2 linked regions of the Daphnia pulex genome follow. The protein of the gene in region 1 purifies or fractionates together with the protein of each later gene. This does not show direct contact. Links are inferred from orthologs where the notes say so. Each region holds a gene or a part of one and is shown on either strand. Other genes may lie near its edges.

Region 1 (5,582 bases):
CTAATCCTTCATAAATGGCTTTCGTAACGGCAGCGTATAAACCTTCAAGCTCTTCATGCTTCGAGGCCACATTTGAGTTGGTTGGCTCAGTTGGAAACACTGACATAAGACGAGAAAGAAGTCCATGAAGGCATCGAATAACCTAAAGAAACAAAATATCCCAAAATATTAGAAAATTGTTACAAGACATATTGGGTAAGATTTAATTACTTTGGGATTCGTGCAATTCATGAGTGAAGAAAGCCCGCGTTGAAGTGGTTTGAAGCCTGCCAGGATTTGTTCCTTCCGCAAAATACTTAACAGGAATGTTAGTAAATCGAGAGCTGTACAAATATTGGTGAAATTTGGAGCAGAAGCGGCTGCTGCTGCCGATGCGGCCGCAGTAGCGGCTGCGGGAGAATCGGCAGTCTGAAACAGTCGATCGAACCAAGCTAGTTTCAGTTCACAATTTGGCCAAACATCGGGTTTTAAAGCCATCTTCAGAAGAGCCACACATCGTTTAGATAACTGCTCGCCCGAACTGTTGGCGGTCGAGGTTGCATCGTTCACCTGATAAGAGATTGAAAAAACATTTTAGCACGTATACTAACTCAAAAACATACACACAAAGCATACCTGACACGCCAGTCTTAATAAAAAGTTTGCTATGGCATCACAGTGAGTTTTCTCAATCGGTTTACTGACTTCCAGCATTTTCCCTGAAGAAGAAGATGAGGCAAGTCGTGGCTTCTTTGCTTCTGGAAGTCCGTCATTTCCTGATCGTTTTACGGATCCAGATGGCATGGTCTCATCGCAGGACTCACCTCCTGAATCAGCTTCATCCTTCATACGCTGAAGCTCCCACTTGAGGACAACTTCGGCCAATTCGACGGCTAACTTCTTGTGCTCTAGCGTGGCCGTTGGAGTAAATCCCAGGCGCTGAATCGAGGTTATCATGTACTGCACCAGATGATGTCGAACTGGATAATACACTTTGTAATGACGCACCAGCAACTGGAGAATGTGCACCAGTTGAGCAATTGTGTGACCCTCTTCAACAATGATTTTCTTCGTCCAGTGGGTAAGCATGGTGTTTCCGTCCTCCATGCGAAGAGGCATAGCTGGCGTTAGAATCTCCAGTGCTTGTCGGACAACATTGCGAGCTTCAACAGCGTGGGCCTTCAACAAACTGTGGAAAACTTGCAGCACAATTCGTTTGTGAATGGCGAACTTTGCAATGATGTGACTCAACAGCAAATGGCCATGGTAACGGGTGGTTGGATCAACACAGTTCTTGCTCAACAGACACGGCCATGCAAAAGTCATAAGGCGACGTAGTTTGTTTCCCTGGCGTTTATTGGCGGCGTCGTGAATATGTTGCGAAGCTTGTTCAACCAACAAACAGCTCAGCTGAAGCAACAGGATTCGAACAGCGTCCGAAGTTCCAAAAGGATTGTCTGGATCAATCACTTTATTGATGAAAACACTGACAACGCTTTCACTGTTATCTTGGTCGGGGGTCGGTGGCGTACCAATGAGAATTTCTCCTTCTCCTCGCTCGAAACTGACGGCAAATCCTGGAATTATGATGTGTTGGAGAATTTTGGCTTTAAGTTCTTGTCCCAAGTTGGGATTTCGGAAAAGCTCGACAAACTTGAAAAAAGACGCTCGCTTCCAGTCAGCTCCATATGATTGGCCGACTGTTTTTTCCAAAAATTCTTTCAAAAAGTAGAAATCGGGAATCGTGCGATCGCACAACGCGCGCATCAAATGGAAGAGTAATTCAACTTCTTCAGGGTGCTGCTGAAAGTAATACAGTAAAATTTTGGCCAGTTGACGTTGCTCCTTTCGCTCAGCGATCGAAAGGCTCGTAGTTTTCTTTTCCTCGTAGCGACCCGAACACCAAGCTTTAGTCAGCACGGTTATTAAATCGGGCTGTTCAGATATCCACTGGTCGTCCTTGCAGATCATGATGCGCAAGATTCGAACCGTCACTTGCAGTGCATGAGGTTTGGGTGTTGTAGACTCCGAAGGCAGACCGCCAAGCACAAAATTAACCAATCGATTTGTGTTGGCCTTAATAGCGTCACGAAACGGTTTGCCTTCACTGTGGCGAACAAAATGTTCAAGGAACCGATTCCAATCAGCATCGGCAATGATATCTTCCCGTAAAAGTAAATCAATTGTTTCGGTAGGATATCGCAGAAGAAACTTGATTAAGGGCTCTCGGAAAGGACTGCCCGGTTCTAATCCTAAGGCACGTTCTGTTTGCAGCACTAATTTGCACAGGATTTCCAGGAATCTTGCCGAAGCAGCTGGAATCTGATGAAAAAGTCCAATGATGCCAATTGCAACCTTCACTTCATTGCTGCACAAGCTGCTGCTGCTGAAAGGTCCGTGGCTAGTCTGGGTAGCAACTGGACGATTTCCTCCGGTTTTAAACGCCACGATCACTACTTCGAGCCACTTGCGTAAATGCTGAAGAAGTTGTTCACAAAGCTTTTCGTTGAATACGTGGGGGAAAAGTTGAGTCGTGTGAGACAAGCGCAATATGACATTGGTAGACAAACTGCGATAATCGCCCAGCAAGAGTAACAACGGACGAACGGCGGTATGTACAGTCTCCATTTCGATCTGAGTGCCCACCAGTATCTTCTTCATACAGGAGAATGCCGTTTCTTGAAGTTCAGCATTGTTACAACTCAAAGCTTTGAAGATAACATTCAAGATCTTGTCTCGGCACTGAGTGATGTAGTGGCAAGCGGCTAACGCTTGCAAAGCGGATTTTCTCAATGGGGTCAAGTTGCTCACGGACTTGTAGCAAGGTAATTTCAGAAGAACAGTGTCGTCCACCTCGCACAGCGATAGTAGTTCGTGGAAGAAAACCTTATGCTCGACAATATTAAGATCAATGGTGAACAGTCGGGGTTTCAGCGTCGTGCAGAAGGTGTTACCGTCCATTAACCCAATTTGGGCGTTGACTGGCTGGTGTCTCAGTAAATGCTTTTTAGGCGGAATCATGTCAGCCAACACTTCCTTGTGTGGTTCCATGATGGCCGTTGGTGTTTGGTTTGTTATCCGTGCCAAAACCTGCAATAGGTGCATGGCTTGCTCACGTACAGTTGAATTTGGACTGGTCACTTGTCGTACGAGTTCATGGGTCACGTCATGCAGACTTTTCTTTTGCGCAGACAAAATTTCCGGAGAAGGAGACGATTCTGGCAGCGGAGTAGCGCATAAAAGAAGCATTTTCTCCAAATTGGCTTTGGCCATGTCAATAGCGCCGCTCGACACTTCTCCAGTGAGATCCATCATGACGAACAAGAGGGCCTTTAGGAATACATACTGATGTTCGAGAACCCACTTGAATGCCATTCGTTCAAACAGGAACTTGATGGCAATGCAACCGCCCAATTTTGCATACCAAGCTCTGTCGTAGCAAAGGCTGCACATTCGTTCTGCCAGATATTCCATTAGAGGAAGTTTACAAGCTCTCTCTTGGGAACCGAGCACAATAGATGCAGTGTCAAGCATCAACACTAGCGCCAAGTGTCCAGGTTTGCAAAGTTCTTTTTCTTCGTGGCCCATAATCGTAGCCAATGCATCAACCAACACGAGTGGATCCATGCCTAAAATCCGTTGGGCAGAGCGACCAGGAACAAGCATAGGAAACGGCCCCGCCTGCTGGACGACGGCAACAAGAGTGTAGTGTCGGACTAGAGATACCATAGTGGGCAGAACTGCTTGCCTCAACTCCTTTATGGCTGCTGCGACGAACATGGCAGTAACCGCCGTTTGATGTACATGTCTTGCTTGCTTGTCACTGCACTGGAACGAAGGACTTTGCACAGGATGAATATCTCCTTCCAAGAACGAATGATGAGATAATAAACGCTGCATTGTGAGACGATCGTCATCCAGGTGAAGTGAAGATAGCAGAAAGCAACGAACTACTTCCCAGCATTGCGTTCGGTAAAATGGCTCGGTACTACTTGATTTCAAAGCAGAAAACGCTGTCTCCATAATCTTCTCGACGGGCAGGGAAACGGGCTGTTTCAATTCTTGGAAGTGGATAACGATGCAAGGACCAGACTCTTTGTCCCAATAGTCTAGTCGTTGCGGTTCAACCATCATTTTACGATTACCACCTCCAAACTTACCAAGGACTCTAAAGGCAACGTGTGCGATCTGGTCGTTTGGATTCCTCAAAGTACGCCATAATGCTTGCATCAACTCAGCTCTTACTGGCTGAATATGCTCGTAAAGAAAATCTGGTTGAAGATTGTCGACACAGAGTTCTAAGGTTCTTAAACCTTGGCTCACCAAAGTCTGTGAACCATTCAGCGAAGACACAAGAGGATCCTATAAAAAAATTGGAAACAATAAATAACAAATTTAGAAAAGAAAGAATAATAATAAAAAAAAAACTCATAATTTTATTACCATAAGCATCGGGAGGTAAGGAAGGAGTGAAGATAACCGCACGGGAACAGTCAGGCAAAGTTCCACGAAGAGATCCTTCATATGCTGCTTGTGAAGTCCACTTTGAAGACTGTTTAGACTTTGAAGAAGATTCGGAAGCAATGGCAAAAATTCTTGATAAAGGAGGTCATGACTACCTCCGCCGATGGATCGAAAAAGTGCCCGCAGCAGGAGGAAATAGTTGTAGGGCTCTTTAGCACTCAAAGCTAATTCCATAGATTTGTTGACAATGTGCGGTAGATGTGGCTTTAACATTTGTTCATTCTCCGCAGCAAACAAAGAAACGCTACCAAACACAAGTTTGAACAACTTCAAATAAAGATTAGAACGCTCCATGTTCAATCCCATTTCTTCCATGTGATTCAGCAAATATTCGACGAGGATGGTGGCGAAAACAGCGGAGGTGGAAGGGTTTGCAAGAAATGAATTTGCAACTACCTGCAAAGCGCTATTGCGGTAAATGCGCTCTACCACGTAGTCAATTGTTGTGGCAAATACTTCCTTGAAAGTCTGCGGATTCATCATGGCGAAAACACCAGCAAAATGTTCCAATACTTCTTTTTCTTCTTTAGAGCGAATAGTTTGTGCTGGAACAGTCGGCCGAGCAGCGGAAGCCCCACCGACCGGAAAGCCAACGACGGTGCTATTAAGACTGCCAGAGGTCTCCGCTCCGACCGCACTCGGAATATTTAAGGCGTACACATCAAGTGCTTTCATCGCCCACTGCACCAAACGGATGAATATCACCGTTTCTTTAGGTTGCAAATTCTTGCCTGTAGTAGCAACACTAGTCGTAGTATCGAGTGGAGTTTTGCAGGCCGCACATCCCCAGGTGATGGTTTTCACACCGCACACAAGCGTTTTAACTAAGCTTCGACATTCAGTGATGCTGAAGACAGGTCCCGCAACTCGAACAGCAAACTTCATCGTTTTCTCTTTTTCATCTAGAAGAACTAAAGATGACCGAGTATCTTCCGGTTTCGTTTCATTCGCAGATGACGGTGAAGATGACGGTGGTGCAGCTCCATTCTGTGACCAACTTAACGAAGGAGAAGAAGGAGGCTCAGTACTAGGGGTTGCATTTGTTCCACTGTTGTCTTGCTTGTTCTTTGTCCCAGCTA
Region 2 (5,147 bases), on another chromosome or scaffold:
CCAATGGGGCTGTTATGTGGGCTCGCCGTCCTGTCAGGCTCCTGTATTGAAACATAAAGAATCTTTTGCTATTCCAGTCCATTCCTTCCTCCCGTTGCGAACTGGAGATACTTACGCTCTGGGCCCTTTCACCACCGCCATTCTGTCCCATTCGTACGACAAGGATTCGTTCCTTGGCCGACCGACAGGGATTCTAGGGGTGGCATTGATCTCTTGGGGTCAATCGGACGGAATTGTAAGAATCAAAATCCGGAAGGATGAACCTGTGAAACCTCTCTTTCAATCGGAAGCGCACGATAGCGTGATTTTATGCTCAACTTTACCGGATTACAACAGGATCTGGGTTGCCTATCGATCTGGAATCATGCGGGTCTATCCTTTTCTGTTTGACCCACTGAAACCTCATTTTGAGTTGACTGGACCGCCGACAGTTCTCTCTGGTCACGTTGGACCCCTTCAACAGCTCGTCTTGTGTTCGTCGTTCAGCCTCGCTGTCTCCAGTGGAAGTGATGGATCAATTATCCTCTGGGATCTTCATTCTTTGAATTTTATCCGTCAGCTCACTCCAGGTAATTCAACTTCAACATCCATCGACCCAACATTAAAATTTTTTTAAATTGCCTATAGGTCTATCAAATGACCGGAAAGATATAATACTACCAGTTTCTCAATTGGCCGTCAGTCGTAATACAGCTGATATTGCATGCGCTGTCAATCTGGACGATCAGCAGTCTCGGCTGGAATTGAGGTCAGTCAATGGGCATTTGATCGGCATGACAACGACGAATCCTCTCATTACTTCGTTGTGTTTCTCATCTGCTCCCGAGGGAATTTCTATCAATGTGGTAGCTGCCGGGCTATCCAATGGTCGCATTAGGTAATTCATCAACTAATAAGTTTGTTTTTGTTCCTACTTGTTAATTGTTTTCTCACTACAGATTGTGGGATACTTGGACCCTAAATGTCGTACGAGATATCATCACTGACTCCTCCTTGTCGATAGTCAGTTTGACATATTCGAGCACTTCACAGCATTTACTAGCCGCTAGAAACGATGGTTCTCTGCTAGCTTGGGATAGTCCACATAACCACAAAAAATCGCCTCGCTTCCCACCCTTTATCAATTTAACTTTGCAATGATGATACTTTTCAAACCCGTAGATATGATATGTAAACGCGATTAAAGAGGAGATTTTCATGATTTTAATCACAGGAAATTCAAAAAAGGATAGAATCTCTTGAAAATTTTTATAAATTTAGCTTTATAATGTTACACATGCAAATCTGAATATAATTACGGTAATCTATTCGCAAGAAAGTGATGAAACTTCATTTTTAAACGAAATTTTGTCTTTATTGGCTCGAACTAAGCACATAACAAGGATGTATCCAAATCACTCTCAGCTTATTTGCACAGCGAATGAATCAGAGCAGGGAGAGGGTGAGGTGGAAAAGTACGAAAAGAGAGTCGAATGAATCAGGACTCATGACACAAAATTGCGATTTCCTAGGTCGCAGAAGGTACAGAGACACACAAACAGTCAATATGAAGCAGATCTCAATAATTTAGCTAGACAGATGTTTTCATCTTTTTGTTGGACCGTTTCCCTTTGGTACTGTTTTCCCTATCAGAACCTTCAGAATCTTCCTGATACTTTCCAGCCTCAGCTTGGGTATGCATGTCACCTACATTAAGCATTTTGGCTTTCTCCAGGGAGCGAACTTAACAAAGAAAAGGTTAAATGTTGTACTGATGCAAAACAAAAAAAGTAAACATACTTTGAGTTTGAAGGACTTCATTTTGCCTTTTGAGATCATCAATATCCTGCTGGTGGGCTGCATTTTTCCGTCTCATGAATTGTATATAATCAGCTGCCTTCTTCAGTATTTGAGCACGGCTCGCCTGAAACCGAGAGCCATCCTACAATTTTATTAAGTGAGATTTGCTCGACACTTATGTTTTACTTTTTCTCCCTGTAACGAGGGAACTGAATCTCGAAGTCCACTGAAGCTATCCTTGATGTGATCTCTCCTTTTCCGTTCCAAGGCATTATGGTGTGCTCTTTTGTCAACCTGTTCATCCAAGCACACAAAGTGTTGATAAAGAGCTCTGTGCCAGGTAAAACACACAAATAATATCTTACTTGCTGAGAATACTGTCCAGAGCCTCGTGAATAGCCACCTCCATCCTCCTCCTACAGCAGATGATAGAAAGTAAGTTTTAGTAAGTGAATGTTTTAAAAGAGGTCAATGCAGCTAAACCATCTTGTTCAACAACTTACATCACTTTCGATATCTATATCTCGTTCATCATCGCTCATCGATGGGGAAACGGCATAGGACATGGTCGTAATCAAGCCAGACAAACTAGGGTTACCAACAAGAAGACTTCAAGCTAAGGGATCAAAATTTGCAGATTAGGGCCAAAACACTTCCAACGCAATAGTTACGTTCAAGGTGATCGAGATAAGAAACTGCTATACCAATTTGCTTAAAGCCTGATAGTCGATTTCTCTTTGTGTAAACACGTCACGAGTGTGGGCAAAGTGTTGTATTCACGAGACTAAACAGCAAGTGAACAGCGCATCGAGTTGTTGAGGTGCACTTGCGATGTTGCCAAATGAGCGCAATTCATTCCAACAGCAAAATTGTTGCCAACTTGCTAATTTCGCCCGGCAACAAGGACGACATTACGACAAGGATATTTATAATTCTTTACAAAATTAAAACAAAAAACTCCTTAGTCCTTATTATAAAAATTTGACGGATTCTGACATTTTTATTTGATTGGCGGAGGATCACTCAGAGTAAATGCGGCAAATAATAAACTATTGTGCTTCAAACACATGTTTGATGACAAAGTTGAAAATTATGGAATGCAAAATCTCTTCTCCAATCAAGGTGTGGTCACATATAAAAGGTGCGCAAGAATATACCTGCGTTAGAAGAACCACACGCGAGAAACGCTTCAATGTCGAGCGAGTAGTGAACCGAGGAGGTCATCCACTTGACTGTTTCCACATTCCACTAACTGCGATACGCTGATTTTGGGTGCGGGCAAACATAGTTTTAAAATGTCTCGCCAATAACACGCCCAAAGAAGTATAGTGACCTCCACATTACATTAGCGTTTTTTAAAAAATCCCAAAATGATAAATGATGCCCAATATTCAACCTAACACGCTAAAACAACTAAAACCTTATAACTTATATTTGATTGTCTTGGCTTCTCTTGACTGAAGGTTGTCGTCACACACGTGCATGCCGAGTGTACACCCATCACGGAGAAGAGAGTCCATATGAATAGGAAAAAATTCAGACCCAAAAAACCTTTGAGCGCTAGACCACGTATATCTTATTCCATGATTAGAATCCCGAGGCGATTGTTGCGCCAAAAGGAGAACCAGAATCTCTTGTGTTAAGGTCATTGTAGGAAAAAATTTATAAAATGGGATACTCGTTATAGTGCGATTCCTCCTCACGTCGTACCTTCTTCCAAATGGGAAAAAAAAACCGGAAAGTTTGAAGGTTGCGAATGGGGTGTGTCGGATGAGACTTGAGATGTCCATGAGATGATATTCATTGGAAAAACTAGAAGAATCGTGTATAACCAGCAGCAGCAGCAAAGCCTTGATGGTCAGTCGCGTTGTCTTCACATTTGATGCCATTCCTTGTTTAGTGTTGAGTTGGCGTCGTGCAAGTTGGATGTGCTGTTTTAACCTTTCCATCAACTTCTTTTTGTTCACGGATAACAGGAATTCAAAAGTGGATTGAACCGCGTCATTTTGGTATGAACATTTCATTCAATTACAGACTTGTATTTAAAACAAAATTTCCTTTATCTTACACCGTTCGGAACAGAAATTGAAGAAATGTCTGCTGAAGAGGATTACAGTGCTGGTTTGTTGGAGAATTCCCATAACAAAAAGCCGACTCACTCTCAGGTTATCAAAGAAGTAATCAACTGGTTTTACGGGCCCGATGCAGGAAAGCTCAGTAAAGAATGGAGCAAACGACTTTTGCGGCCGAGACCGCGTTTGACGCAGGCACTCAGCACCACCACGCCGGAATATGTCACGTACGACACGGCCAATTACCCCGTACTACACGGGCCATCCGCCAGGATTCCCTATCACGTCATCATATTAGGAGGTGTTTTAATCCTGGCCGTCTTTTATCTTTTACTTTTCCTCGTCATCAGTCGTTTACGGTGTTGTAGAAAGGTAAACCAGTTATTACACTATTTCTTGGGGAATTTCATTATGAAATATTCGCCATTTTTACAGAATCAACAGCGAACGGCTCGCCGGAGGAGCAGGGAGACTTGGAGGGAAGCCAATGGATTGTATCACATTGAAGGAGATGTGCTGGGCAGTGGTAATGTCCATTCTTCTTCGCCCAAATTGGGTGAAACAGACGATTCGCCACCTCCGTCTTATGAAGACGCTATGATTGCCTGCGGCCATAGCCCTCAACAGTTGCCGGCGCAAGCTAAAACCAATCAGGCAACACCTTCGAATGTTAATAACGACGAAGATGTCGAATTAAACTAATATTTCCAATCATAACGCGCTTGAATGAAAGGTATGAGTAAAGACTATTAGCAGTATTGTGACTTATATAGGTGGAACTAACACGGGAAAAACTTACTCAACGTGCATGTTACATGTTTTTCTGGAAGGTCTTTCAGCATCTGGTTGTCCTTAAGTGTATATATATTATACAGTACACTATTTGTGAGGGTGCATATACTTGGTGGCGTCTTTTTAAAAGGATGAAATCATTTCATTTTTATGTTTATTATGTCATTTCCGTTTCTCGTTGCACAAATAAACCCATTTCGAGATGTTTACTATTATAAGTTTGTTATTCTCATTTTGGCTTTCCGGCAATCATTAACACATGAAAAGATGGGAAACTTAATGTTGTGTATGATTACCTGTAATACTGGACTTTTCCCATGATAATTGTTTTTATAAATTTGCTACGTAATTGTTAGTTGCTGCTGTACGTACTGATGTGTATATTTAAATTGACCAAAGTCTAAAAACTAAAAAAACTAAACACCAAATAATAAACCGAATTAAAAATACCACAGAAATTAAAAGTTGGAGACAAAAAGGTTTAAAGTAAAAACATAATAGGTT

Evidence for each region. The genes of interacting proteins can lie anywhere in the genome.
Region 2: the proteins of transformation/transcription domain-associated protein-like (region 1) and protein max-like purify together in Homo sapiens (affinity purification with mass spectrometry; 6 studies listed by BioGRID and IntAct, with this or other methods). This does not show direct contact. The link is inferred for Daphnia pulex from reciprocal best matches to the Homo sapiens genes TRRAP and MAX.

What each region holds. Positions count from the first base shown.
Region 1 is NC_060018.1:6,522,311-6,527,892, forward strand, and holds part of transformation/transcription domain-associated protein-like, read right to left. Parts: coding exon 4,423-5,582; intron 4,342-4,422; coding exon 616-4,341; intron 550-615; coding exon 211-549; intron 143-210; coding exon 1-142. UniProt on the Homo sapiens protein: Adapter protein, which is found in various multiprotein chromatin complexes with histone acetyltransferase activity (HAT), which gives a specific tag for epigenetic transcription activation.
Region 2 is NC_060026.1:15,126,628-15,131,774, forward strand, and holds protein max-like, read right to left. Parts: upstream 2,658-5,147; 5' UTR 2,484-2,657; intron 2,396-2,483; 5' UTR 2,346-2,395; coding exon 2,283-2,345; intron 2,196-2,282; coding exon 2,145-2,195; intron 2,074-2,144; coding exon 1,966-2,073; intron 1,922-1,965; coding exon 1,780-1,921; intron 1,723-1,779; coding exon 1,571-1,722; 3' UTR 1,333-1,570; downstream 1-1,332. Other genes in the region: lysosomal-trafficking regulator-like, read left to right, coding at 1-569, 628-877, 939-1,140; uncharacterized protein LOC124205464, read left to right, coding at 3,873-4,223, 4,287-4,553. UniProt on the Homo sapiens protein: Transcription regulator. Forms a sequence-specific DNA-binding protein complex with MYC or MAD which recognizes the core sequence 5'-CAC[GA]TG-3'. The MYC:MAX complex is a transcriptional activator, whereas the MAD:MAX complex is a repressor.